Linked DNA regions of Oryctolagus cuniculus. The protein of the gene in region 2 interacts with the protein of the main gene of each other region in a biochemical or structural test. Links are inferred from orthologs where the notes say so. Each region holds a gene or a part of one and is shown on either strand. Other genes may lie near its edges. The genes, in order: KHDRBS1, PRMT1, HABP4, BTG2, FBL, UBAP2L and HNRNPA1.

Region 1 (3,500 bases), on a different chromosome or scaffold from region 2:
ACTAGGGCATCCTCTTGCCTCACTAATGTGAGCTTACCTTGGCTTTGTCTCTCATTGAACCCTTTCCCAACACAGAGATCTTTGCACCAGTCTCTTCCTGCAGCCTTTTTATTGTATTTCCTTGTGGTCCAAGAATCTTTCCAACAAAATTGAACTGACAGAAATAAAAGAGATTTCTAAATACATATGCTCCTATAAAAATTTCCACATATATTTGTGCTCTGCATTGATTTTCAACAACCCTGTAAAATAGGTAGAGTATTACCACTCCCAGTTTACTGAAGGATACCAAGATTGTGCTGATAAAGTGATTAGTCTAAGGTTACACATCAGAAAGTGGCAGTTCCTACACTTGGAAGTTGGGTTTCCTGATGGAAGCTGGTGCTCTGTCCATCACACACTCCAATTTGCAGTATTTTAGTATAAACATTTTAACATATAGCACATAACATTTTTAAGACAGTGACCTTACAACAGAACAGACATGTGACACTGTTTGGTACTATGTTTAGCTAACTAAATATAAATAATGTTGCTTTCCTTAAAAAGGAGAAAGAGGAGGAGAAGAAAGCAATGACTTAAACTTTGAGCAAGAAAATAAACTTCATTCAGTCAAGGATTTGTTTAACTATTTCATTTTATTTAGATTTCAGGTCAATCTTTTTGATGGTGAGAACTGCAGGGTTCAATTTTTTCCTTGGACCTGGAGCCTGCATGAACATTAAACACACACACACACACACACACACAACTCATTGATAATAACGAGATGATTTCATTTCCTTCCTGGCTTTAGCTATGCTATTAGTTATAGATGCAGATGTTCCAACCACCACAAACAGGTAGCGCAAGTAGGGAACAGCAGTTCCTCAGGCTCAAGTTTCTGACGTATCACCATCTTCAGAAATCCTTACTACAGCTAATGACGCCCATACCATAAAGAGATTTAAAGAGCGCACATTTTTCTCCTACCTTGGGATACTGCTTGACAGGAATCAGTACCCGCTCTTTCAGCTTCATGTTCTTATGAGAAAATAAATCCAAGTAATTCTCCTCATCATCCTTTTTTGAATCCCCTTTCTGAATCTTCTCAATTTCTGAATAGGAAAAACAGATTTTATTTTTGGTCTGGTAAATGAAGGCAAATTCCCAAATCTGCTAAAGCAATAACATGGAGTACCACGTAATGAAACCGAGGACTTCAGATGACCAATGTGCTAATTTCAGATAGACTGGCTCCAAGTGTCAAAGCTATATGAGGATGGCTAGGAAACCCAACGCCTGCTTCTACCAGCAGTTTCCTTTCCATCCTGATCTGAAGCCTCTGCACCAAAAACATACAAAATGTCCTGATTTAAGAGTAAGTAGAGGGACCAGTGCTGTGGCGTAGCAGGTAAAGCCGCTGCCTGTAGTGCCAGCATCCTATATGGGCGCTGGTTCTAGTCCCGGCTGCTCCACTTCCGATCCAGCTCTCTGCTATGGTCTGGGAAAGCAGCAGAAGATGGCCCAAGTCCCTGGGCCCCTGTACCTGTGTGGGAGACCCGGAGGAAGTTCTTGGCTACAGATCGGCACAGCTCTGGCCACTGCGGCCAATTGGGGAGTGAACCAGTGGATGGAAGACCTCTCTCTCTCTGCCTCTCCTTCTCTCTGTGAAACTCTCAAATAAATAAATCTTAAAAAAAAAAAAAAAAAAAAAGTAAATAATTTAACAAGACTAATGAGATGAGATAAGGACTAGGGGCATAAAGGAACTAAAAAATAAAAATCTTCACCAAGAAAAAATACGAAGTTGCACCCTGCTGAAGAAAGGAAACAGCAAGTTAAGCCCCCGCCCGCAGCGCTGGGCATTCCATATGGGCACTGGTTCTTATAGAAGCTGCTCAGCTTCTGTTTCAGCTCCCTGCCCATGGCCTGGGAAAAGCAGCAGAAGATGACCCAAGTCCTGAGGCTCTTGCCACCCATGTGGGAGAGCTACAAGAAGCTCCTGACTTCAGCCTAGCCCAGTCCTGGCTGTTGCTGCCACCTGGGGAGCGAACCAGCAGGAGGAAGATCTGTCTTTTAAATGAATAAATAAATCTTGGAGTGGGGGAAGCCAGTAATTTAAATATATATTTAACATTCCATTAAAATTCCATTATGACAGTAGTGATTTTGGATACTTGTCCTTAAAAGTTTGAAAGACCTGGTTCTTACTCTGCCACTCACTAGTTGTGTGAACTTAGATGTTATTTGACTGGCTGGCGCCACGGCTCACTAGGCTAATCCTCCGCCTAGCGGCACTGGCACACCAGGTTCTAGTCCCGGTCAGGGCGCCGGATTCTGTCCCAGTTGCCCCTCTTTCAGGCCAGCTCTCTGCTGTGGCCCGGGAGTGCAATGGAGGATGGCCCAAGTGCTTGGGCCCTGCACCCCATGGGAGACCAGGAGAAGCACCTGGCTCCTGCCATCGGATCAGCGCGGTACACCGGCCGCGGCGGCCAATGGAGGGTGAACCAACGGCAAAAGGAAGACCTTTCTCTCTGTTTCTCTCTCACTGTCCACTCTGCCTGTGTAAAAAAAAAAAAAAAGAAAAAGAAAAAAAGATGTTATTTGACTGCTTTGAATCTTGATTTCTGCATTTGTAAAACAGAGGCCATATCTACCTTATGAGGACAGATAAAGGCAGAGGAAAGTAACATATACAAATGCCTAATTAGTCTATTTCTTAGAAAGTGTTTAATATATAGTCACCTTCACCTAGTTCAAATTCAATGTCCTAAAAAAAAAAAAAAGCACCAAAGCACTTCTTTTTATCCACTTTACTGAGTTATAAATGACATACAAAGAACATTTAACACACACCATCCCATAAAAGCATCAGTTCCTGTTCTGGCTGCTCTACTTCTGATCCAGCTATCTGGTAATGGCCTAGGAAAATTAATGGCGGATGGCCTAAGTGTCTGGGCCCCTGCCACCTACATGGGTGACCCAAATAAAGCTCCTGGCTTGCGGCCATCTGGGAAGTAAACCAGCAGATGGAAGGTCTCTCTCTCTCTCTGTAACTCTTTCAAATAAATAAATAAATCTTTTTTTTTTTTTTTTTTTTTTTTTTGACAGGCAGAGTGGACAGTGAGAGAGAGAGAGAGAGAGAAAGGTCTTCCTTTTGCCGTTGGTTCACCCTCCAATGGCCGCCGCTGCAGCCGGCGCACCGCGCTGATCCGATGGCAGGAGCCAGGAGCCAGGTGCTTTTCCTGGTCTCCCATGGGGTGCAGGGCCCAAGCACCTGGGCCATCCTCCACTGCACTCCCTGGCCACAGCAGAGGGCTGGCCTGGAAGAGGGGCAACCGGGACAGAATCCGGCGCCCCAACCGGGACTAGAACCCGGTGTGCCGGCGCCGCAAGGTGGAGGATTAGCCTATTGAGCCACAGTGCCGGCCTAATAAATAAATCTTAAAAGAACAAAAAAACCTTAAGCACCCAGAAAATTTATCATGTTAAAGCTTTTTAAAAATTTATTTATTCTG
Region 2 (4,169 bases):
CTCCTGGCTGCGCCAACCCTAGCTCCTGCAGGCACTGGGGTGAGGGAACCAGCCGCTTCCGATAACATGAAGATATGCAAATATTCCTACGCACGCACAGGCCTCAGGGCCGCACTCACCTCGTGGATGCCGAAGTGGGCGTAGGAGTCAAAGTAGTAGTCTTTGGACGTCATGTCCTCGGCGTTGGGCTTCTCGCTGCCTTCGGCCTGGCCGCAGGACACCTGGCAGGGAGGGGACGGGGCACGGTTAGATCCAGGGGCTCCGCCTCCCCGCCTTTCCCTCAGGAGTGTTACCGAGACCCCCGAATCATAGCCGTGACGGCCCTGGAGTCCCCGCAGCCCCCACAACCTACGATCCCCGTTCGCCACGTCCAGGACCCCCCAGAGCACCGTCCAGGGGAGCGCCCGATGCCGCAGGCCCGCCTACCATCTCTCCAGTCTCTCTGCCCCCGTCTCTAGCTCAGCCCACAGCTGGGGAGGGGAGGGGAAGGGAAGGCAGGACTGGGGCAGACGCGGGGAAGGGCCAGGGGGTTGGAGATGGAGTTAAGGAAGCAGCCACGGAACCGGGGCCAGCAGGGGCCGTGACCCTGGAGGGGTTGGCACTAAGTGTGGCGGGGGCTTCTGGGGAAGCTGGTTTGAAGCCACAGGGACCACCGTGAGGCCTGTGGGAGGGGCCAGCCGTGTGGCGAGAGACTTGTGTGGAGCTGCAGGTGGGGGCGGGTCTCAGAGCGAGACAGACTGATGTGGAGGTGCGGGTGGGGGGCCGGCCGTGTGGGGAGATGGGTTTATGTGCAGGTGCGGGTGGGAGGGGTCTCACAAAAGGATATTTACGTCGTCAAGAGGCGGCTGGAGGCTCATCCCATTAGCCAAGGTGGCTACAAAATTCTAGGAGAGAGTACAGGGAGAGAGGATTAGCTACGGGAGAGGCCAGGGAGGGCCAGTCTCTGGGGAGTGGGATCCCTTCACTTTCCTGCTCCGGGCTGGGCGCTGTGAGGAGGGAGTCAGTGATGGGGCGGTGAGAAAGGGAGGGGAGAAGTGGAGGGAGAAGCGGGGTCTCCTATCCCAGCTGTGGCTGGAGAGATGGCGGCCTGCCCCCACCCCGGCCGAGGACCTGGCGTCCGCCGGGCACACGGGCAGCGCCAGCTGTCCCTCCTGCTCCTTGCCTAATCCCCCCAGATTAGGTGACGCTTCCTCACACCCCATCCCCGGTGCCCTGAATAGCTGGAGCGAGGGGGGCCGGCGGGGTGCGCCCCCAAGGCCTCCCGTGGGGCAGGATTCCAGAAAGAGGGCTGGGCACGCGGCCACCCCCAGCGCCAGCACCCCGGCTCCCGGCTCCCGCCGTGGCTTCAGGAAGCTCCACACAAAACCAGGAAGGGCAGGAGCCGGGAGGCCAGCCCCGCGAGGACGGCCCCACAGGTGGCCCGTCTCGGCCACCCAGACCCTGAAGCCCCCACGCGTGACTTCCGGGAAGTCACTTCCTCCACTCTCCCCAGGAGAGTCAAGGGGGCCCCGCGGGGCAGTGAGTGCTGCACCCCCATCCCGAGAACGCTACGAGGGGTGACAGTCCGCCACACCACACCTCTTCAGAGGGGCCAAGTCACAGGCCACGGCCCACCTGGCTCCAGGCCCTCTCCCCAAATTCTCCCAAGCCAGCGGTATCGAATACCACCCATGCGTGCCCCGTCCCGGGAGGGCTTGCAACCACCCAAACTGGAACCTTCACCCCATGGCTGCACAGGGCCGAAATCTCGCTGCAAACCAGGACCCTCCGTCAGGCCGGGCAAGGTCATCTCCCACGCTCGCACACGCGGGAACCCAGCGGGCACAGCTCACAGCCCGCGCGCGGTGCATTTCTCATCCCATCGCCTTCCCGGCCAACACTCTCCCTCCGCCCACCCTGGAGGGCTCCAACGGGGAGGTGGGCTTGCGGACACGCCCATGAAGAAGGTCCCTCCCACACGCCGAGAACTGGCCACCAGGGGGTGCGCGGCGCCCTATCGGGGAGATCTCCATCTAGGTGCCCCCCCACCGCACAGGGAGGTCACAGGGGCATGACCCATCCCCCAGCTCCCGAAGCCCCGGCCCGGGGAGAGCCCGGGGGCAGAGGAGGAGCTGGGGGGGCGCTGCAATTCTCCATCTCTCTCCCACGCCGCGCGGAGGTCCCTGGCCCCGTGTGCAGGGGGGACCAGCGCCGCCCCCCAAGACTCCTTCCGAGGGGCCGGTCAGCAGGCACACCCCACCCCAGCGCGTGCAACCCGGTCCCCGGGGAGCAGCCCTGGAGGGGCTCTGCGAGGGGGTCGGAGGCTCCCACCGGACCCCCTCCTCCGGGCGGGGGCGGGGCCTTTGTCCCGCACGTGGAGTCCGCCGGGCCACCGGGATCGGCACACCCCCTCCCCACCCACCGCGCCGCAGCCACGTGGGGGCCCGGCCGGAAGCGCCCCCGGCCCTCCTCCACGTGGGAGGGGGGATGAGCCCCTCGGCTCAGCCGGGTATCGAAGGCCCCAGAAAGCGAGGGAACCCCCCAACTCCAGCGATATCCTCAGATCCGGAGCATTCGCCGCTCCCTCCGCGCGGCCAGGGGCCCTTTTAGCCCCACTTCGGCGACTCAGAGCCCCCTCCCCACCGCGGGAGCGTAAAACGCCGACGCCAGGCCGCCCCCATCCCCGGCGGCGCTCCGGGCTCTCACCTCCATGATGCAGTTCGCGGCCTCGGCTGCCGCCATCTTCACCCGCACCTACTCCTCCTCCTCCTCCGGCAGCCGAGACCCCCCCCTTTCTCCTCACTCCCCCGGGACCGCCTTATACCGGAGGGTCGACGACACGCCTACCGCTACCGCGCTAGGAGATTTCATTGGCAACGGCGGCGGCCCGTCTGAAAATACCGTGTAGCAATTGGGTGCCGAAGACGCCCGTCAAAGGCCAGGGCCCTCCCAGTCTGGCGGTCACAGCCCCGCCCCCTTAAGTCGACTGGGATGGGAGAAGCTGCCTGTCCATCTCAAGAACCCCGTCTACTGATTGGACAAAGTTAACCAGGAGTGTCCGCCCAGCACCTCCTCAAAACTTCCCGGCGGTCCTCGCGCTAAGCGGACGTCTTGAAGCAGAGCTGTCCATCAACGAATTGACCCGCCACCTGATCGCTGCTATTGGCTAAGCCGGAAGGTGACGTCACCAGGCCTCTGGCTAGCTCTGGCCGAGCACGGCCCTCAAGGAGAACACGGCAATTGGCCCACGGGGAGCGAGCCAGGCCGGCCTTTCGGCACCAGCGATTGGCTCAGAGGAACTGCCGCTCATCGTCCGTCCGGTGGGTCCTGGCAGCTCGAGGGGAGTCCTGCAGGAGCCGGGGAGCCTGTGCCCGTTCACCCGGGGACAGGAACGGACGCAGCGCGAGGCCCCGAGGCAGGGAGGGCTTGATGGGAGCCAGGCGTGGACGCCTGTCACCCGCGCCCCGTCCTTAACGGCGCCAAGTCTGGGACCCAGCAGCCCCCTCTGGGCCGCCGGGCCTTCGCCACGTCCCGCCTCCTGCCAGGAACGCCCTCCTCCCTTTGTCTGGCCGGCACCCAGCGGTCAGTGCGGGCGTCCGGCCGCTGCCGCCTCCGGGAAGCCCTCCCGGATCTACACGCAGGCACGCAGTGGAGGCTAATGCCGGGCGCTGAGTGCGTGCACCCCGCCGCAGTCCTCGGGCCGGCGCCTTTCCACGCCCCGGCGGGCTTCCCGCCCGGTCCACTCGAGCACAGGGAGGTTCCCTGGATGACCTATCAGCTCGCCTCCCGCTCTCCAGGGCTCCCCGCGTCCGAGCACCGGGCCCCCGCCCCTGCCTCCCACCCGCTCCCTAGCACCCCCGAGGGCAGAGGCGGAGAGCGCGAGCGAGCACACTCCCACTGCCTGGGTCTCCGCCCCAGATGTCCCACAAAGGCCAGGCCCAGAAGCTGGGCGCCTGGAGCTCCGTCCCGGCCTCCCACGTGGGTGGGGGGCCCAGCTGCTGCGGTTTAGTAGGGACCTGGAGCTGGAGCCAGGCATAGAGGGCGGGATGTAGGGGCCTCGTCGGTTAGGCTGAAAGCCCGCCCCTCAGATTTAAATGAATGTAGCCCCTCCCCCAGCACGCCATTGCTTAGAGGGAGAATCGCTCGGGGAGGGGGGGGGCAAGGCGGTGTTTCCATCTCAGAAAGTAGAA
Region 3 (3,977 bases), on a different chromosome or scaffold from region 2:
AACAAAGATAACCAGTGTTGTTTTTTCCTCCACAATTTAGACCCAAGAGATCAAGACCGCCACTGAACCCAGCTTGTGTCTGTGTGCTGGATCAGCAGCTCCAAGCAGATAATGCAAACACTGCACTTCACCACCCTTTCCAATAAAAGGCTGGCACACGCAGTTTGACCACTGATCTAAACCCAAGTTCATATGCAACAACAGAATGCAACAACATTTGCAGTAAGGTTTCCTACTAAATGAAGCTGAACTTCAGCTCTAGGAAAAGCAGAGCTGATTCATTTAGCTTCTGACCGCTTCAAGAAGGAATTTACAGAGCAAGGCTTGCCACAGGATTTATGTACATTGTTAGATAGTCACAGACTCTAAAAACCATGGGGGAAAATCTTATGATACACTTTTGTGAGATTAATAAACATTTCCATTATCTATCGAAGCTGCTTGGTTTTTGTCTACACTAAGTACTCGTGACATTCTTACCAAATTTAAAATCTTGCCTGTTGGAAAAGCTTAGTCCTTCATACCAATTAGGACTGTAAAACCTTGAGAGAGAAGCTCCCCAGCACTAATTGCAGACAGATTTAGCACAGTAACTACATAAGCAGAAATTAATGAGATATTTGCTCCTGAAATAACATACTGGGGAAAAAAAAAAAAACCTAGAATGACAAGATTTTCATTCTAGGGCTGGCGCTGTGGCGCAGTGGGTTGACACCCTGGCCTGAAGCGTCAGCATCCCATATGGGTACAGGTTCTAGTCCCGGCTGCTCCTCTTCCAATCCAGCTCTCTGCTGTGGCCTGGGAAAGCAGTAGAGCATGGCCCAGGCTTGGGCCCCTGCACCCACGTGGGAGACCAAGAAGAGGCTTCTGGCTCCTGGCTTCGGATTGGTGCAGCTCTGGCTATTGCGGCCATCTGGGGAGTGAACCAGCAGATGGAAGATCTCTCTCTCTGTCTCTACCTCTCTCTACAACTTTGTCTTTCCAATAAATAAAATAAATCTTTAAAAAAATTTTCATTCTAACCAAAAAAGTCAACTACATATCTCTAATATTGGACCTCAACAGTCAGAGCACTTGTACCACGAACTGACAGAAAAACGTTACAGGTGATTACAATGTCAAGCAAAAGAAGTAGGTTGCAACCCAGTTTCCATCAGATATTTTAAATTTAGAAAAAAAAATAGTGCTATGCATGTATGTATACAAACAGAAAGTGCCAGCAACGGGAAAAAGAGGATGTTCACTTCACCTCATTCATGCGGGAACTGTTTTAACATTTTTGTAACACAAATGCAGGGCATTTTGTTACAGGGCTAAAGATGAACATACTGACCGCACGCACTGCACTTTGACATCCTTCTACAGGATAAGCAGGGAGCGGAAAGCCTAGCCTTGCTGGATTCTCCAACTGCCATTATATTTACTTAAGAGAAAGGCCATAACGCAAACAGGATCTCAACCTCCCAGATCAAAGCAGCCTATACATTTACCGGCCTAGCACGGGCAGGCAGCATTTCTTAAGCTTTCCAACATCTTTGCTGTAATGACTCGACTTTCTGGTTCTCGACTGGGGCTCCTGGGCTCAACTTCCCAGACGCAGGTAAACACTACCTGGTCGCAGAGGTCACAGCCCTAACACTCTAACCGGGAGGTCCTCTCCCCAGCCGGGGTGCACGGACAGACGCTGGAGCGGTGGAACCGCCCGCTCTCAGCAAGCCCCGGTTTGGGGACAGTGGCAGTGACGCGGCCCGGGCCAGGGCGCCGGGCCCCGAGGCAGGCCAGGGCCGCGCTCAGGGAACCGGGCCGGTACCGGCTGGCGAAGGCTGCTGTTCTGAGGGGGAGCCACCGCGCCACCAGCCCCGCCGCCGACCCCCGGCAGCCACGTGCGTGCGGAGAGGCGCGGGGCGCGGGGCGCGGGCGCCCACCCGGGCCTTTGCTCCCGCGCCACCCGACCACCGAGTCAGGGGGCGCCCTGGCTCCTCCGCCGGCCCCCGCCCCGCTGCCCGCTCGACCTTCGGGAGCCGGGAGGCAGCGACCCCACCACACGCTTCCCCGGCACTACCCCCAACTCTGCCCAGCCCGTCGGACCCCAGCCCCGCCAGCCCGCACTAGCCCGCCGACCCCCAGAACTGCCCGAGGAGCGCAGACCCTCGGCCAAGGCCACAGAACTCTGAACTCGACCCTGACTCGTCTCTCCCAGACCCCCGGCCCACCACGGGGGTCGAGGAGCGGTGACCTCCGTGACCCCCTTCCCCTTCATCCCCAGCCCCGGAGGGACGCGCGTACCGAGCGGCTGCGGGCCGCCGCCGGGGCTGTCTGGCTGCTGAGCGCCGGGGGCCGGGAGGCTCTTGCGCTCCTTCTGGGACTCCCTGCGCCCGCCGCCCGCGCCGGGTCTGTGGCCCGAGGCCCCGGCCGCGCTCCGGCCCCCACGGCCGCCGGCTCCGGCCGCCGCCGCAGCTGCTGCTGCTGCCGCCGCCGCCGCCGCCGCCTCGTCGCGCCTCTTGCGCTGCAGCTGCTGCTGGCGCCGGCGCTCGGCCTCGCGCAGGATGTCGAACGGGTCCGACTCGTCGTCCAGCAGCTGATGGAAGCGGTTGGCCACGACGCAGCCGAAACTCTCCTGCATCGCGGCGGCGGCGGCTGCGGCCACGGGGCTCCCCAGAGCGCCCTTCATGCCGCCGCGGCCGCCTGTGGCCCCGCCGCGGGCAGCCCACGCGATCGAGTCTCAGCGAAGACGGCAGCGAAGACCCATCCTGCCCGCCTCCGCCACCGCCCTCCCTGCCCTACCCGGTCCCGTCCCTCCCGGTGCCCGCCCCGGCGCCGCCGCCGCCCGCCCAGCCGGCGCCCGATAGCCAATCAGCGTGTGCGGACACGCCCCTTTCCCCCCAGCCTTTGCATCCGGAAGCCCAATCACAGGCCGGCTGCTGTCACGTCACGCGACGCGTGTGCCCCGCCCCCTCCGGCCGGGCGCGGGGGGCGGAGCCAGGGGCGGGGCTCCTGTGAGGAGAAACCTGTGAAGAGAATCAGTGGTGGCGCGGCGGGCGGGCGGACAGCGGCCGGCACGCGTGTTTTCCCGGCGAGTGGGTCCGTGTTTCTTGTTTTCCTCTCTTGGTTGAAGCTTCGTGACCCGACGATGGGGAAGCCGGGAAAGGCTTTCCTTAGGCGATGCCGGCTCGGCCGAGGGAGAAGGGGGGGTCCCCGCCCAGACGCCAGGGCTACTGCTCGTGTCGGTCCTTATTGCAAGAGCCGTGGGAAACCGGCTTTGAACACGAGCAGGTTTGGGTTTGAAGAGGCCTTCCTGGCTGCGATAGAGGGGCTGGAGGTGGAACCCGCAGGGATAGTGACGCGGTGGCCGCGGAGGTGCCAAGAGTGGAGTCCAGAGCCGAGGAATGGGGGTTTCTGCCGGCCGGACGTGGGGGTGCCCTGGGTGTGGGCGCTGAGGAGGGAGAACATGAGGACTCCTGTTTTTTCTGGAACGGTAGTGCTAATCACAAAGAAATAGAGTCCCGGGATGGAACACTTGGATGACAATTAGGGGCTCAGTCCCAGGGGCGAGCATGGAGCCTGAGCAGTGGAGACGACACGTGGGACGCCCACATGCTCCGTCAGAGAGCCTGATTTGGGTCCTGCTCATGCGCACCCTAGGAGCTAGCAGGTGATGCCCCTCAAGTAGCCGGATCTCTGCTACCCACGTAGGAGACCTGCATTGAATTCCTGGCTCCCGGCTTCCATCTGGTCCAGCCTCAGCTGCTCTGAGCATTCGGGAAGTAAACGAGCAGATGGCAAATCTCTTTCTGTCTCTATCTCTGACTTTCAAGTAGATAAAAAAAAAAAAAAAAAAGCCAAAGAACCCATGTTGGACATGTTGTGTTTGGGGTTTTGTTTCTTTTGAGATATTCGGTTGAAACCCGGAGGCCCAGGAGAATGCTGGGCTGGACTTCGTCCAAGACATCTCACCTGGTCACCAACACAGACAGCTT
Region 4 (3,934 bases), on a different chromosome or scaffold from region 2:
GGTAGCAGCATCGGGGCTCTCGCGTGGTTCCAAAAAAAAAAAAGGGTTTTGGCCAAAAGACATCCTTAGTGGATACTCTTTGGGTCCCAAGATTCCATTGCAAGTCGGCCCCCAAAACACCTGCCACACGCACACACAAAGCAGCACAGAGCAAAGCAAAAGTTTTGTGCAGAGTTCCCTTCCACCCCCACCCCCTGGGACTTCCAATCCCCGCCTTACCCCTGGGGTGGGGGCTGTGGGGGTAGGGGGCAACTTCTACAGGCCCCTGAGGGTAGAATCTGAAACAGGAAGAGCTGCTAAGCCAGGAGAGGCCTTTTCACTCCCTGCCTAGAATCTCAACAGGAAAGTAAGAAGATCAGGCTACAGAGGATTGTTTAAGTCCAGGCTTGAATGCCCCTGAGTGAGAGCGGGGCCGGGGATGCAGGTGTCCTGGCGGGGAACGGGGAGGCTTGAACTTCACCCCTGTTCTCCCCCAGGGCAGACCCCAGCCCCCCACTTGTTCACAGTAGCTAACCTTGTTTGGGGTGCCAGCCTAACCTCCCCTCCCCCCACGGGCAGACACTGGCTCACAGACTCTGCAAAGGCACCTGGGGAGGCCGCTTCTAAGCAGCTCCCTTTAAGGATTTTTTTCTTAAAAAAATCTTTTGGTTGTTTTTTTTTCCTCCTCTTTTCTTAAAAAAAATAATATATATATAAATAGCTCTTCATGTAGAAACACAGTTCCCCAGGCTGAGGTATGCGGCGGCCGTGGTCACGGCAGGACGAGCACAGCCGCGTGCCGGGCCGGCGGCAGGGGCGACGTCTAGCTGGACACGGCCATCACGTAGTTCTTCGAGGGGCTGCTTCTGCCCAGCATCACCTGGTTCTTGCAGGTGAGAAGCCCACAGGAGGCAGCCACCGGGGCCTCCTCGTACAGGACGCAGATGGAGCCGTCCTCGCCGATGCGGTAGGACACCTCAAAGGGGTCCACCCACAGGGTCAGCTCGCTGGGCAGCAGCCGGTGCAGCTGGGGCTGGCTCAGTCCGGTCTGGCTGGCCACCTTGCTGATGATCGGGTCCATCTTGTGGTTGATGCGGATGCAGCGGTAGCCGGAGCCCTTGGACGGCTTTTCAGGAAACCAGTGGTGTCTGTAGTGCTCTGCGGAGACAGGACCGGGCTCAGGTTAGAGCTGCAGGGACATCGACCAGGGTGGAGGAGAGGAGGAGGGGAAGGGGCCCAGGGACCGCAAGCAGGACCCTCCAGAAACGGAGGCCCCTCCCTCTGCCAGGACAGGGGAGTGTGCCTGTGGCAGGGGGCGCCAGAGCGCTGGGGCTCTGTCCAGGGCCACAGCCAGTTTAAGGAGGGAGGGACGGGTGTGACTAGGGCTGGCATGTCCAGGCAGGGGCTCCAGAGGCTCAAGGCCAAGGAAGCTGCCAGCATTCTTGGGTCCAGAGAAAGTCATTGGGCCTCCCCTCTGGCCTAGTGGCCCCTTTGCTTCCTTTAGAAGAGACAGGGACAGTTAGCCCGGGGACAAGGAAGTGGAGATGGATTGTTTTGATGGACTGTGTTGTTCCTGGGCAGGCAGGATCTGTACCGCCCTCCAGCCCCAGCCTAGCGGGCGGCAAGGGAGCTGGGTCTCCTGCCCAGCCGGCAGCTAATCCTGTTCTCAAGTGCCCCTCACCCCCCAGGCCCGGCCACAGAGCGGAGGTCCTGGCTCCCGGCTCTCTCTACACCACAGTAGGTGGCAGATGGCTGAGACGGACCAAAGAGAAGACAAAGGGAGACCAGATCCCAACTTCCAGCGAGGCAACAACGGGAGAAGCCCCGAGGACTCCTTCTTCTCCACCACGGACCCCCCGTTTGACTGGCGGGGCTTCAGGTCTCAGGCGTTCCGCGACGGAGACGCGCCCCTACTCAGACTCACGGGTACCCCCTCTGCCCGCGCGCAAGCTGATCAGCTCCACGGTGTGAAGGGGCGCGCCCTGCCGGAAGACACGACACGGGGAGTCGGGGGAGGGCAACCGGGACCCCGAGAGCAGCGGGTGGTCGCCCCGGTGTGTGTGGTGGGGGGGGCGCCAGTACACTGGGCAGCGCTCACCTGTTAGTGCTTCCTGGAGCGCCCCGCTGAAAACCTTAAGCCTCTGCTCGCTCACGCAGCCCCGCGTCCTCAGGAGGCTGGAGAGGAAGCCCACAGCGGCGGCGATCTCCGGGACCATGTCGCTTCTCTGCCCGTGGCTCATGTCGTGCGCGGCGCCAGGAGCAGGGAGAGGTCTCCGCGGGACGTGCCGGGGAGCCAGCTTCGCCGTCTGGTCGCCGCTCGCACTCTGCGCGGACTTCCCCCGGGCCGCGAATTTCTTAGGGTTCCCGGGGGCGGGGCAATCGGGGGCGGCGCCCATTGGCGGCGGACGGGGGACGGGGGTGGGGTCCGTCGTGGCACCGCTCCGCCCCCGCCTCCGCCCCCTCGTCTGCGCTGAGGTCATCGCCCGCTGACGTCAGTGCTGGGAACCTGCGCCCGGCTCCGGAGCTGCGGCGAGCGGAGGAGCGAGCGAGGGCCGAGGAGGGAGGGGGCGCGAGCTCTCGGGGAAGGGAGGTGGCTCCCCGGGTGCTGCCCGCCGGACGTGTCCGGTCCTCGGCTCTCCGCCAGTCCGAGGCTTGGCTGGGTTTTAAGGCCCCCTCCTCCAGGAAGCCTTGGCGAGTGCCACGCCGCCCAAGCGGCCCTGCTGGGACTCCAGACGCGCTGTCCCGGCTCCGCGGCTGGGCTGCTTTTCCTCTCCGGTCGGAGTGGGGCTGAGCCACCTCTCTGCTCTGCCACCTGCCCCCAGCAAGGTCTGCGCCTCGTCCAGTCCCGCTTTCCCCGCGGGGGCCCGGAGTGGGCGGGCCGCGGGGCCTCTTTTGTGCCCCCGGGTTGTTTTCTCTCGTTCTGACTTTGCTCTCAGTGCCAGGCGTGTGGAGTGCGTGGTCCGCCCGCAGCTGTCCCTCGCGGGGGCCCTTGTGGGCCCTTGACAACCTCAGGCTCCGTCTCCCACAGCCGGTGAATGGGCTGAAGGCAGGAAGGTCCCCAACCTGGCACAGCCTGGCGCAGAGGCCGGCGCACGGCAAGGCGCCGTAACTTGTCCGAGGAACCAGGCCACTCACTCCAAGCCTTTCTCCCGCCCTTCTCCGACCCCGTGCCCTGCGGGCTGCGCTGGCTGCAGACCGTGCCGCCCGCTCCCGCTTGGTGCCCCCGCACCCCTACGCCTGTCTCCCTCTCTTTCCCCGGAGGGAGCCTGTTGACTTCTCACAGCGCACTCCTACACGGGCAGGGTCGTCCAGCCGCCACCACGCGGGCAGCCTGGGCCCCTGCCCCCTGCCAAGCCAGCTCCCTTTCTGGTCCTGGTTTCTCGTAGAAACCCTCATTCCCTGCCTTTTGCCCACAACACTCAGACGCTCCTGCGCTTTGCTGCTCATCAAGGACCCCCCTTCCTGAAGGGCCGGGTCGGCTTGCTGAGACCACTCTGGGACACTCCCTCCCGCATCTGTCTCCTGTACTGCTCTGCCTTTCATAATTTAGCCCATGTACCTCCACTGCCCATGCCAGGGTCACCTCTGCAGCCCAGGATCCGCACCTCTGCTCTGTCACTTGGTCCCCATTCCAGGTGTGCCCGAACATGCCTGGCCCTGCTGTCCTGTGGCTCCTGTCCTTGTCTCCTGGATCACTCACTGCCTCCTTCCCACTCCTTTTTTGTATTTAAAGATTTTATTTTTTTTATTTGAGAGTTAGAGTTACAGACAATGAGAAGAAGAGACAGGGAGAAAGGTCTTCCATTGGTTCATTTCCCAAATGGCCGCAAAGGCCAGAGCTGCGCTGATCCTAAGCCAGGAGCCAGGCGCCTCTCCCTGGTCTCCCACATGGCTGCAGAGGCCCAAGTACTTGGGCCATCCTCCACTGCTTTCCCAGGCCATAGCAGAGAGCTGA
Region 5 (4,051 bases), about 6.3 Mb from region 2:
CGGCTCCCACAAGGGATGCTGGGGCTCACCCTGCTGTGCCACAACCCTGGCCTCAAGAACCTAGAACTTAATCCAGGTCTCCGTGGGGGTGGCAGGGCTCAAGTACTTGAGCCATCATCTGTTGCCCCCCAGGGTGGGCATTAGCAGAAAGCTGGATCAGAACAGAGCAGCAGGGACTCGAATCGGGCACTCTGATACGGACGCATCTTAACTGCTGTGCCATGAATGCCTGCCCCAGCATGGGCACTTTTACAGATGCTGATATGGGGCCCAGGCTGGGAGGCGCCGTACTGAGGGCCTGGCCTTGGGGTAATTAGTCCCCACTCCCTCCTGCTCAGGAGGAAAGCTACAACCGAGGCCTGACAGAGCAGAGACCCTGGGAAGGCCCGGCATGAGCACTGGGTACAGGGTCGTGAGCGTGAACTGTGCCTGAAAACTCAACTCGTCGCTAATCCATCGCCGGCCTTGCGGCTCGTGCACCAGAAGCCACCGACTCTGACTCCCAGGGAAGCTTCGGGCGCACAGCCCACAGACTCCCTGCTTCCAAAACTGCCCCCACCGCCGTCTTCCTCACCCACAGGGCCAGCTCCATCCTTCCAATTCCTCTCTCACATCCACACAGTCGACTGGTGCTATTTCCAAAACACATCCCCAGGTCATCCATTTGTCAGCAGGTCCACTGCTGCCATCTTGGTCCGAACTGCGTCACCAGGTTTCAGCGACACGCCTGCCACCGACGTGCCTGCAGCCACTCTGCTCCCCTAAGGCCCAGTTTACACAGAGGGCCCCTCTTCAAGATGTCAATCAGGGTGCAGTAGGTAAAGCCAACACCTGCCGTGTAGGCATCCCATATGGGCGCCGGCGCAAGTCCCAGCTGCTCCACTTCCAAACCAGCTCTCTGCTATGGCCTGGGAAGGCAGCAGAAGATGGCCCAAGTGCTTGGGCCCCTGCACCCACATGGGAGACCAGAGAAAAAGCTCCTGGTTCCGGATTGGCACAGCTCCAACTGCTGCAGTCAACTGGGGAGTGAACCAACAGATGGAAGACCTCTCCCCGCCCCTGCAATTCTGCCTTTCAAATAAATAAATAAATCTTAATAAAAGAAAGAAAGCTGTCTATCAGACCGCACGGCATCCTGCTCAGAATCTCCCAGAGGCTTCCCATCCTATCACAGCATGCGGCAAAGCTGGGAGGGAGAGGCTGCTCCCTCTGTCCCTGGGGGAATCTCAGGTGGCTCGAGGCCTGCAGGCATGCCAGGTTCCCAGGAGGAGAGATCTACAGCGTAGCATCCACCCCACTTCATCAGGAGACACCCAAGGGAACGAGGCTCAGGAGGAGGGCATGGATCCACAAGCTTCCCCCAACCCCCCCACGACCCCCATCTCCACACACACAGGGAAACTCAGACCCTTTCGGCCACAGTGGAAAACTTCCCAAACTCTGTGCAGCAAGTTCTCAAACAGAACGATTGTGGGGGTTGGGCAGAAGGACCCTCATTTTGTTTCCCTTGAGAAGCAACCTGAACCTGTTATCTATATGGCCAGTATTGGGCTAATTGTTTTTAAAACATCATCTCCCTTGGGGCCAGTGCCATGGCTCACTTGGTTAATCCTCTGCCTGCAGCGCTGGCACCCCATATGGGCGCCCGGTTCTAGTCCCGGTTGCTCCTCTTCCAGTCCTGCTGTGCCCCGGGAGTGCAGTGGAGGATGGCCCAAGTGCTTGGGCCCTGCACCCCATGGGAGACCAGGAGGAAGCTCCTGGCTCCTGGCTTCGGATCGGCGCAGTGCCGGTCCTGGTGGCTATTTGGGGGGAGAACCAACAGAAGGAAGATCTTTCTCTCTCTCTCTCACTGTCTATAACTGTCAAGTTAAAAAAAAAAAAATGATCTCCCGTAATAGTAACCAGGTGCCATATTATTGATGCAAAAACCGGTAAAATCACTTGTTCAAGGTCACATACACGGCGAACGAAGAAGCGGGGCCAGGATTCGAACACTGAACCGAGGCCCTGCTCCTGTCAAAACCAGGAGTCACATCCTCCCGCCATCGGGGCTGAGCAGCCCCACACCCCTGCCAAGGGCGGGCTTCTAGAAACCCACTCCATCGCCGGGGGCAGCCCCCCGGAAGCGCAGGGAGCGGCTTCAACAGGGCCAGGGGCTGCTAACGATGGTGGTGGCGGCAGCCAAGGGGCGGCAACGGGGGCCTCCCGACCCTGCTGCCAGCCCCAAGACCAGGCACTCTCGGTGTCCGACCCAAACCCACGCCCAGGGACCCAAGACCTCAGAGACCTGGATCCAGGCTCTAGGTCCGAGCCCCCCGAGGGCTGCCCAGACCCAAGAGCCAAAAATCTCTTCCTAAAGACGGCTTCCGCGAGACGAACCCTGGGCCAGGAACGCTAACCTCAAACCAAAGCTTCTGACTCACGGCCGCGACCCCCGAAGCCAGCCAGAATTCCCCAAACCCCCAGGGCTCAGGATCGACCCCAGGTTGGGAGCAGGACCGCCCCCCCCCCCCCGCCCTCCTCTCCACACGAGATCGGCTCCCGGGCTCGGAACGCCAGCCTGCAGGCCAGGACCCTGCCCCTCCGATTCCGGCCTGGTACCCACATTCCTTCCGGAGCCCAGTCCCCAGCCCGCGACCCCAACCCCAGCCTGCACCTGGCTTCATGGCGAGCTACCAGTTGCGCCGTCTGGGGAATCTGCGGCGTCCCTGAACGCACGAGTCTGGGGCTGCCGCACGTGGAAAGGAGCGCAGGCGCGCGGCGACGTACGGCGCATGACGCGTCACGCAGCCCCGCCCCCGGGCTCCCGGGCTCCCTGCCCCGCCCGGCGCTCTGCGCGCGCGCAGTGGGCGGGGATTTCCCGAGTCCCGGGCTCCGCCCCCTCCGCGCTCTGCGCTTCCCGGGCTTTGCGCGCCCAGGTGTCGCGGCCGCGCTCAACCTGTCTTCGCTTCCTCTTCTCCGGTGCAAGGATCCCAGCGATCGGGACTACTTCGCACAGGCTGTGCCCCCTGCCCCTCTTGTGTCTTCCTAGCTACATCCCTGAGGCCCCCTCTAAGAACCATAAAACCGTTCTTTACCCAATTCCACCCCTGAGACCAGGGCTGTACTCTGGGTTCTCATTTGTATTGGCACAAACAGCATGTAGGGTGCCTCTTGTATGCGCCAGGCGCTGGGAATTCAGCAGCGAACAAAACAGAGAAACTGCCGCCCTCCTGGAGCTCGTCTTTTGTTTATTTTATTCCAAGATTTATTTTATGGATTTGAAAAGCAGAGATACAGAAAGAGAGGGAGAGACAGAGATCTTCCTTCCGCTGGTCCACTCCCCAAATGGGCCAGACTGAAGCCAGGAGCTTCTGCCAGGTCTCCCACGTGGGTACAGGGGTCCAAGCACTTGGGCCCTCCTCCGCTGCTTTGCCAGGTGCATTAGCAGGGAGCAGGGTAGTGACTCGAACTGGCGCCCATATGGGATGCAGCGACGGCTTTACCTGCTACTGCTACAGGGCCGGCCCGGACCTCATCCTTTAATGGGGAAAACATCAAGTCAGCAACACACGGTGGTGGCTAGAAGTCCATATGGGACTTCTGAGAAATGAGCTCCAAGTGTGAGGCTCCCACTTTTCAGGGACAAAGGAAGGCTCGGGAGTGCTGGAGACACAGTGGTGAGTGTGGCCGGGGCAGAGTGAACCAGGGGAGGGTGGGAGGGGCCCCGGGCAGGGAAGCAGCAGGGCAGACTGTATGTGTAGGGCCTCTGTGCTTTTACCCCGAGGGAGACGGTGCCATGGCAGGGACCTAAGCAGAGAAGGGGCTCCATCAGACATGGGTCACTCAGGCCACGGTGGGGGTGACGGCGGGAACAGAAGAATGAGAAGCGACCAGGCAGGAGCCAAGGTTGGACCACAGCAGCGTGTGGGCAGGGAGGGGTGAGGAGGGCTCCTGCGTGAAGTATTGAGAACACTGTGCCGTGCACTTTTGTGATACTAATATGCGTCCCACGGAGCAAAGCAGCGTTGCTGCTGGGAGAAGTTGCTGAATGCACCCACGGGAACCTCCT
Region 6 (3,500 bases), on a different chromosome or scaffold from region 2:
TGTCATCTCTTCTTGGAAGATCTGGTTGCTAGCCTTCTGAGTGCATATCAAAAGACCTCACCTTGCTCTGTTTTGACTTGGTGAGGGGACAGCATATCAGAGGTGATGTGGAGTGATTGTCAAGTACAGCCAGCATGCATGGGTGTTTTCGCTGAACTGATGTACTCCCACATTCTCCTGCAAGGATCACTGGATTTGAATTTTGGACCTTTCTGGTATCTGTTTGGATTTGGGGTGTCATTAGCAGTTTTGGGGATTGCCTTCTAGGATACAGGGATGGGGTAACTGGTTTGGGTTTTAATTTTTTATTTTGTTTCTTTGGATAGTTTACATTTTATTAATCCTTTTGTTACCTTGCAGAGTTTCTCCCAAAGGTGTTTTTGTTTGTTTGTTTGTTTGTATCACCAAAATTAAGCTGGGTCAGTGCTAACTTGCCCCATTCAAATGAGTTTGTTCTTGCTCCTCTGTTTCTTGTACCAGAATGGCTTCAGTTCGGTGCAGGCCACGCAGTTACAGACTACGCAATCTGTTGAAGGTGAGTGTTCTCTGAGCTTTTTCCTCTAAATTACAGTGCTTTTTCTCCTGTTAATATTTTCGCATTTCTTAGGTTGTCAAAAAAAGCTCTGACATGGTTGAAACATCTGCTATAATCTTAGTTTGGTTGTGCTTTACTGTTTAATGTGAAATCATCTAAACTTTTCAGGTTTTCTGTCTGTAAAGCAGATAATTTCATTGGTTTCTTTCATTAGGCAATTAAAATTCATGCTATGAAATGCATGGAGTTTCAAAAGATTCTACCTGGGGCCAGCTTTGTGGCTCAGTGCATTAAGTCACTGCCTGAAATGCCAGCATTCCGTATCAGGTTGCCATTCTGAATCCCAGCTACTCTGCTACTGATCCACCTTCCTGCTAGTGTGTCTGGGAAAGCAGTAGAGAATGGTCCAAATACTTAGGCCCTACCGCCCGTGTGGGAGACCCAGGTAGAGTTACAGGTTCCTGGCTTTGGCTTGGCCATTGTGGCCATTTGGGGAATGAACCAACTGATGGAAGAGATCTGTCAACTTTGCCTTTCCAAAAAAAAAAAAAACCTTTGTAATTCAAATACTTCATTATTAAATGACTCACACTCCTGTCGTTGGGGTAGCCCACGCCTGTAGCTACCTCTTCATTTGATGAAGTTCTTCTTTATTTCCAGGTGCTACAGGCTCTGCAGTGAAATCTGATTCACCTTCCACTTCTACCATCCCCCCTCTCAATGAAACGGTATCTGCAGCTTCCTTACTGACGACAACCAATCAGCACTCGTCCTCCTTGGGTGGCTTGAGCCATAGTGAGGAGATTCCAAATACCACCACCACACAACACAGCAGGTAACTTGGGGTGAGAGGATGGAGGTTGGGGTTAGTTGAGTATCAAAACAGAGCTCTCTTATTCTCTTATCCCCCTTGCTTGATAGAGACCATATTAAGTAAGTGGATAGCCTGAGTACTGTGAAAAGTGAAGGCTAAAAAGACCTATTTTATTTTCCCAATGCAATAGCTGCTTTAGCTTTAGTGGCTCACTACCCTGCCTGTTTACTGTGCTTACCATATGATCTAAGACCTTTTTGGTCCCATATTCTGGCTTCAGTTCCTTGCTTGTGTTGGACTGAAGCTCAAGGTCACTTGAGCACTGTGGCTGATGAACAGCTCTTTTCTGTCTTTACAGCACGTTATCTACACAGCAGAATACCCTTTCCTCATCAACATCTTCTGGACGGACTTCAACATCCACTCTTTTGGTAAGTATGGCACCGAGGACTGTGGTTTTCTTAAAGCTATAACTATCCAACACTGAAATTCTCCTAAGAGGGAATTCTTGAATGTTTCTTCATGGGGTGATAAAATGATAATTGGTCTGAGGTTGCAGGAAAAGGAGTAAAAAAGGGGTGTTGGGAAGTCAAGAGAGTCTGATGAATCTAGAAGTACTGCAGAGCCCTGGAAGTGATTGACTTTGCTCAACTCTGAAGGTAGATGGGGCTTTCTATGCTCAAGTAATTTTTGTAAGAAGGACCATTTCCGGGACTGGTGCTGTGGCACAGCAAGTAGAACCACCACCTGCAGTGATGGCAACCCATTTGAGCATTAGTTCGAGTCTTGGCTGCTCCACTTCCAATCCAGCTCTCTGCTTATGGCCTGGGAAAGCAGTGTAAGATAGCCCAAGTCCTTGGGTCCCTGTCACTGATGTGGGAGACCGGGAGGAAGCTCCTGGCTCCTGGCTTCAGATTGGCCCCGCTCCAGCCATTGCAGCCATATGTGGGGTAGTGAACCAGTGGTTAGAAGACCTCTCTCTCTCTTCTCTCTATCAAATAAATATTTATTATTATTATTAAAAAAGGATCATTTCCCTGTCATTCTTGAACTGAAACTGGAGTATAGTGAACACAAGTCCTGAAAGTAATCATCATGAATCTTGATATCCTTAAGAATTTAGATGCCTGGTGAGAAGTCTCTGTCAAAGAGTTTTACTGCTGTGATTTTAACAGTTATTGGTGGAATTAGGCTGAGTTTTAAAGGAAAGACTCATTGTGCATAAAGGTGTCAGGTTTGCTAGAAATCTGTGAGAAGATATATAAGGACTAAGACTTTATTAGGAATTTCTTTCTGGTCAGATACACAATTTCAGGTTTAAAGTCAGGGCTGTACTCTTTTCTAGCCCAGAAGCTGATCTGTTAGACTGAACTAGTAAAGAAAAGCATGAACGGGAAGGCTGTGACACATACCTCAGATCTTAATTATCTCTGTCCCCTTACTGCTAATCAGTGTTGGTCTCACACACTTTTCTGTCTTCCTGAATAGGATGATGATGTATAATGGGTCTCTGATACTATCCTTTCTAGTTGAATCTTGAGGAATGTGTAACTGGAGATTCCAGCTACTTTGGTAGATACAGGCACCTTGGTGCTCTGCCTTAGCCGTTTTAATTGGGAAAATTGACATGATGATATCAGAAGAAGGGATTGTGCATTCTTCCTTACCTGTGGTGCTAATTTTCATCTCTCTTCCATTGCTCCGCTTTTTGAAGCACACAAGTGTGGAGAGTGAGGCGAATCTCCATTCTTCCTCCAGCACTTTTTCCACCACATCCAGCACAGTCTCTGCACCTCCCCCTGTGGTCAGTGTCTCCTCTAGTCTGAACAGTGGCAGTAGCCTGGGCCTCAGCTTAGGCAGCAACTCCACCGTCACAGCCTCCACGCGAAGCTCAGTTGCTACAACTTCAGGTAATCTTGCATAGCTGGATGGCATTCCTCTGGGTTAGAGGTGAGTAATTGTGTGACAAGATCAAATGTAGTTTCTCTTTTAGGAAAAGCTCCTCCCAACCTCCCTCCTGGGGTCCCGCCGTTGTTGCCTAATCCATATATCATGGCTCCAGGGCTGTTACATGCCTACCCGGTAAGTGGCACTGGATAGTCTTCTCCAAGAGGTGAGGGTAGTATGGCTACTCCTTTTGTGTGTCTGGCT
Region 7 (3,899 bases), on a different chromosome or scaffold from region 2:
ACCATGATCCTGAATGCGGCAGTGTCAATGCAGCACACCGTCTCAGTCAGGAACCAACCCCCATTTAAAAGCTGCCATGTTGGGCAGCTTGTTCTGCCCCCAGAAGGGAAAGGCAGTCAGTTGATCTGAGACATGGAGTCAAGGCAACTGCCTGTGGCTGGTGCCACCACACAGCAAGTTAAAGCCCCAGTCTGTGGTGCTGGCATCCCACATCGTTGTGGTCCAAGTCCCAGTGGCTCCACTTCTAATCCAGTTCTCTGCTATGGTCTGGGAAAGCAGTGGAAGATGGCCAAGTCCTTGGGCCCCTGCACCTGCATGGGGGATCCAAGAGGCTCCAGGCTTTGGATTTTTACAGCTCTGGCTGTTGTAATCTGGAGAGCAAACCAGAATATGGAAGATCTTTCTCTGCCTCAATGTCTTACCAAGACCAGTTTATCACTGATATCCTACATTTTTGAATCCCTAATTTAAAATGGGAAAATAACATGAAGCAGACCAAGTATTTATAAAATGATTTATTATTCATAAAGCTCATTCACAAAATGGAATGAATAATTAGAGCTGCAAAACAGCTAGTATCAACTGCATAGCAGTGAGAAATGGAGTGGCTCAAAGGTTGTCCTCACAAGGATGTTCCTGCAAAGGAAAGAGAGGGGTGAAGTCGTTAACGCATTAGGACAGGGCTCTGTCATCAGCTAACTGCCACCACTGGGAATCTGGCTGCTTTGGTTATGGACAATTGGACCTTGTGCTTGGGTGTTGGTAATTCTCCCTTTGACTTTGGAAATATGGAGAACTCTTGGCTGGCCATTATTTTATAGAAACTTACCTTTCTAGCCATGGACAGGAGTTTCTGGGTTTAATTATAATTATTTTTTTAATAAGAGCTGATAAGCGTGTAGCAGATTCTTCCCTAGAAAAGTAAACAGCCTTTAGAACTGGCTCTTTTCGAAGACAGAGTCCCATCAAGCTAAACCACCCCCACCCACTAATGGTCCACCCACCCAGCCCTCCCCCCATTTTGGGAAGATTCCAATATATTAATTTGAGCCATTATTTCAAGGAAATGGGTAAAAGGACAGCAAATAAAATTAAAGGGCAAAAATAGATTATCACAGAATTAATTACTTTCTTCAATTAGGAGCCACCAATAGGGTGTCAATTTCTCCAGAAAAACCAAGTTCAGCTTAACTGGACTAGTTTTGGCTCAATATATTAAGGAAAATTTAACAGAATACTGGATTTTAGGTTAACTTTATGGATGTAAGTAAAATCTGTTCTTACCTACCAGCATAGCAATAAAACCTTTCCTCCTGGTTCTGACTGCTAGTCCTAAGAGTCAGGTGTGCCTTACTCTCGTCTGCCTCCTTTCTGGCGATGGTCACTCAAACTTCACTTCCTCCTAGCTTTCATGGAGGGTGCCGTGGCCTGCCCCTGGCTTATCTGTGCTCCACATACCACAAGTGTCTACTCTCAGCTGTAGAGTCTGAGCTCGGAGCCATTCGCGCTATGCTTGCTAGCAGTTCCTAGTAGCTGAACATCTCTCCTGGATCTTTAAAGGCATTGTCACGAATCCTGATGTATCTGCAAACTCCCTCAACAGTTAAAGGTTCCACCTGCTATTGCAAACTCAGCCAGTATCATGAACTACCGTCCACGCTCACCCACCCCCCACCACCTTCCACCCACCTCCCTCCCACCCTCCTCCCCAATGTTCCAACACACCCCTGGGATGGCATATACAGTCCTACTAGTAAACAATGATCTATACTACTAGATACAATGGCACTGAAATTAAAGAGGGTAGGCTTCAAAGAACCTATTTACAAATAACAATTATTGGGTATCCATGAACTATGAAAGGTTTAGAAATCATTATCTATATATACAATTAACACTTTCAGATGATTGTGTGGTCTTGTGTCATGTTTAAAGGAAAACTGCAGTTAATATGAAATTATACAGAAACATTTGTTCCTCCCACTTCATGGTTTTAATCCCCCCAACCAGTGTAATCAACATACATTTCCACAGACCGACCCACCCACACACCGACCCATGACCCAGCAGAACTGCAGTTTTCCTTTAATAAAAACCTGTTTATATTGAATTCAAGTCTTACTGGTACCGGTATTTTTTAAGAAATGTCTCTTAAAACACTTCTAAATCTTTGTGGACTTAATGGAGTGGAAGCATTAGCCAGCAGCTGGCTTCTATTCTCTGGCAGAGTTTTGAACTTGCATTGTGGTAGGATTCAACATTATCAGGGGTGGAGGGTAGGGAAAAGTCCAAATCTCTGCCAGTCCCAAATCCATACAGTTGTCATTCCATTCAAGAGAATTAAATCGTTTATTGATTACACATGATAATGGATGATACACAGCTTCATTCCCATCTGTAATTTTATCTGGTACCATTATTCAATTTAGATATATTGCAAAGGATGTGCCAACAATCATTCTTATAACCAAATAACCCCATGACTTTGCTTGGGTGGCTTTTAATGGTGAACTTCAGAAGGTCACAACAGTAACTCATGTATCTGAGAACAGCTTCTCCACCCGAGCATTTTGTAAATAAATCTCAAATGGAACCTGGCATCACCCTGATGAATTCTGACTTTACACTTTTTGGGGAAGTTTACCAAGATGGCTTCAGAGTAGACTAACTTTACACAGCACATTTAAAAAAAAGACACATTTATTCAGCGTCATGATCAGACTATTACATTTAGCAATCAACAGCATGGGTGCAAAAGAAAAAAAAAGAAAAAACTACATTAAAACCCTTTGTTGGAATGCTTTACACTTTCCACAGAACAGAAACTAAAATAACCTGTTATACAATTAGTCACAAATACAGTCCTCGAGTTTTTTTGCCCATACACATGAGTATTGTCTAAAACATGTCTTCTTTGTAGCAGCTAGGCCCTGCCACCACTGTGCTTGGCTGAGTTCACAAATCTGTTGTAACCTGTAGCTTCCCTGTCACTTCTCTGGCTCTCCTCTCCTGCTAAGCTTTGTTTCCTGTTGAACAATATGGAATAAAGTTGTTAATCTAAACATATTAAGACTCAAGGCTACAATCCAATATTAAGTTGTTTCCCACAAATTTTGCTCATCTGAATTATCAATATTATCTGAACTTAATACCCACAATTTTACTGCAATATTATAATGTTAACTATGCCACACTGCTTAGCTACATTAGGGTTTAGCAGCGATTATAAAAACTTAAAAAAAAAAGCACACACAAAAAAAGGTGTTTACTTACCTGGCAGTTATTAAAACCTTCTGCCACTGCCATAGCTGCTGCTGCTGCTAGAACCACCATAGCCACCTAGAACAAGATTGGGCCTTTTAACCTCTCAAGTGCCCACGGCAAAAGCCCTGCTTTCATGTTCAATGGGATGAGACAAGTTCAAACTTAGGAGTGACTATTTAACAGCCTTAGCGAAACCTGACAAGGGCAGCACCATCAGCTATGCACCCAACAAACCAACTCCTTTCCCTTTTACTTGCTCATCTCCCAGTTACATTCATACCATACCTTGATTTCGTGGTTTGGCAAAATATTGGCCGCCACCACCATAGGGGCCAGAGCTTCTGCCTCCAAAATTTCCTCCCTTCATGGGTCCAAAATTTGAAGATTGATTGTTGTAATTGCCAAAATCATTGTAGCCTCCGCTGCCTCCAAAATTGCTTCCTAGGGAACAGAAAGATGGCCTTTGTGTGTTACTTGAGAAGGTGACTGAGAGTACCCAATTCTGCTCAGTGTTCAGAATTAAAGCTTTTATTATCTGCCTGCTTCCTCCCAAACTCAGGTGGCTGCACATCTGCATTTTCATTCTCTGGACAAGGCATTCAGTTGAATAATCCAGAAGTTTTACAAAGCAACCC

What was found.
Region 1: of the proteins of PRMT1 (region 2) and KHDRBS1, one has a biochemical effect on the other in vitro, tested with the Homo sapiens proteins (2 studies listed by BioGRID). The link is inferred for Oryctolagus cuniculus from reciprocal best matches to the Homo sapiens genes PRMT1 and KHDRBS1.
Region 3: the proteins of PRMT1 (region 2) and HABP4 form a complex in vitro, tested with the Homo sapiens proteins (2 studies listed by BioGRID, with this or other methods). The link is inferred for Oryctolagus cuniculus from reciprocal best matches to the Homo sapiens genes PRMT1 and HABP4.
Region 4: the proteins of PRMT1 (region 2) and BTG2 form a complex in vitro, tested with the Homo sapiens proteins (2 studies listed by BioGRID). The link is inferred for Oryctolagus cuniculus from reciprocal best matches to the Homo sapiens genes PRMT1 and BTG2.
Region 5: of the proteins of PRMT1 (region 2) and FBL, one has a biochemical effect on the other in vitro, tested with the Homo sapiens proteins (2 studies listed by BioGRID). The link is inferred for Oryctolagus cuniculus from reciprocal best matches to the Homo sapiens genes PRMT1 and FBL.
Region 6: of the proteins of PRMT1 (region 2) and UBAP2L, one has a biochemical effect on the other in vitro, tested with the Homo sapiens proteins (2 studies listed by BioGRID, with this or other methods). The link is inferred for Oryctolagus cuniculus from reciprocal best matches to the Homo sapiens genes PRMT1 and UBAP2L.
Region 7: of the proteins of PRMT1 (region 2) and HNRNPA1, one has a biochemical effect on the other in vitro, tested with the Homo sapiens proteins (3 studies listed by BioGRID, with this or other methods). The link is inferred for Oryctolagus cuniculus from reciprocal best matches to the Homo sapiens genes PRMT1 and HNRNPA1.

Annotation. Positions count from the first base shown.
Region 1 is NC_091438.1:140,400,118-140,403,617, forward strand, and holds part of KHDRBS1 (KH domain-containing, RNA-binding, signal transduction-associated protein 1), read right to left. Parts: intron 1,098-3,500; coding exon 973-1,097; intron 155-972; coding exon 38-154; intron 1-37. UniProt on the Homo sapiens protein: Recruited and tyrosine phosphorylated by several receptor systems, for example the T-cell, leptin and insulin receptors. Once phosphorylated, functions as an adapter protein in signal transduction cascades by binding to SH2 and SH3 domain-containing proteins.
Region 2 is NC_091449.1:7,829,451-7,833,619, forward strand, and holds the start of PRMT1 (protein arginine N-methyltransferase 1), read right to left. Parts: upstream 2,801-4,169; 5' UTR 2,722-2,800; coding exon 2,686-2,721; intron 1,895-2,685; exon of another isoform or gene 1,723-1,894; intron 885-1,722; coding exon 831-884; exon of another isoform or gene 827-830; intron 530-826; exon of another isoform or gene 430-529; coding exon of another isoform or gene 427-429; intron 222-426; coding exon 120-221; intron 1-119. UniProt on the Homo sapiens protein: Arginine methyltransferase that methylates (mono and asymmetric dimethylation) the guanidino nitrogens of arginyl residues present in proteins such as ESR1, histone H2, H3 and H4, FMR1, ILF3, HNRNPA1, HNRNPD, NFATC2IP, SUPT5H, TAF15, EWS, HABP4, SERBP1, RBM15, FOXO1, CHTOP, MAP3K5/ASK1, MICU1 and NPRL2.
Region 3 is NC_091432.1:141,290,836-141,294,812, forward strand, and holds the start of HABP4 (intracellular hyaluronan-binding protein 4), read right to left. Parts: upstream 2,801-3,977; 5' UTR 2,672-2,800; coding exon 2,287-2,671; intron 1-2,286. UniProt on the Homo sapiens protein: Ribosome-binding protein that promotes ribosome hibernation, a process during which ribosomes are stabilized in an inactive state and preserved from proteasomal degradation.
Region 4 is NC_091444.1:19,034,168-19,038,101, reverse strand, and holds the start of BTG2 (protein BTG2), read right to left. Parts: upstream 2,801-3,934; 5' UTR 2,460-2,800; coding exon 2,078-2,459; intron 1,138-2,077; coding exon 803-1,137; 3' UTR 1-802. UniProt on the Homo sapiens protein: Anti-proliferative protein; the function is mediated by association with deadenylase subunits of the CCR4-NOT complex. Activates mRNA deadenylation in a CNOT6 and CNOT7-dependent manner. In vitro can inhibit deadenylase activity of CNOT7 and CNOT8.
Region 5 is NC_091449.1:14,143,720-14,147,770, reverse strand, and holds the start of FBL (rRNA 2'-O-methyltransferase fibrillarin), read right to left. Parts: upstream 2,801-4,051; 5' UTR 2,667-2,800; coding exon 2,657-2,666; intron 1-2,656.
Region 6 is NC_091438.1:44,138,999-44,142,498, reverse strand, and holds part of UBAP2L (ubiquitin-associated protein 2-like), read left to right. Parts: intron 1-480; coding exon 481-535; intron 536-1,195; coding exon 1,196-1,370; intron 1,371-1,707; coding exon 1,708-1,780; intron 1,781-3,063; coding exon 3,064-3,259; intron 3,260-3,342; coding exon 3,343-3,431; intron 3,432-3,500. UniProt on the Homo sapiens protein: Recruits the ubiquitination machinery to RNA polymerase II for polyubiquitination, removal and degradation, when the transcription-coupled nucleotide excision repair (TC-NER) machinery fails to resolve DNA damage.
Region 7 is NC_091442.1:57,220,230-57,224,128, reverse strand, and holds the end of HNRNPA1 (heterogeneous nuclear ribonucleoprotein A1), read right to left. Parts: intron 3,706-3,899; coding exon 3,550-3,705; intron 3,340-3,549; coding exon 3,284-3,339; 3' UTR 3,274-3,283; intron 3,027-3,273; exon of another isoform or gene 2,331-3,026; intron 914-2,330; 3' UTR 501-913; downstream 1-500. UniProt on the Homo sapiens protein: Involved in the packaging of pre-mRNA into hnRNP particles, transport of poly(A) mRNA from the nucleus to the cytoplasm and modulation of splice site selection.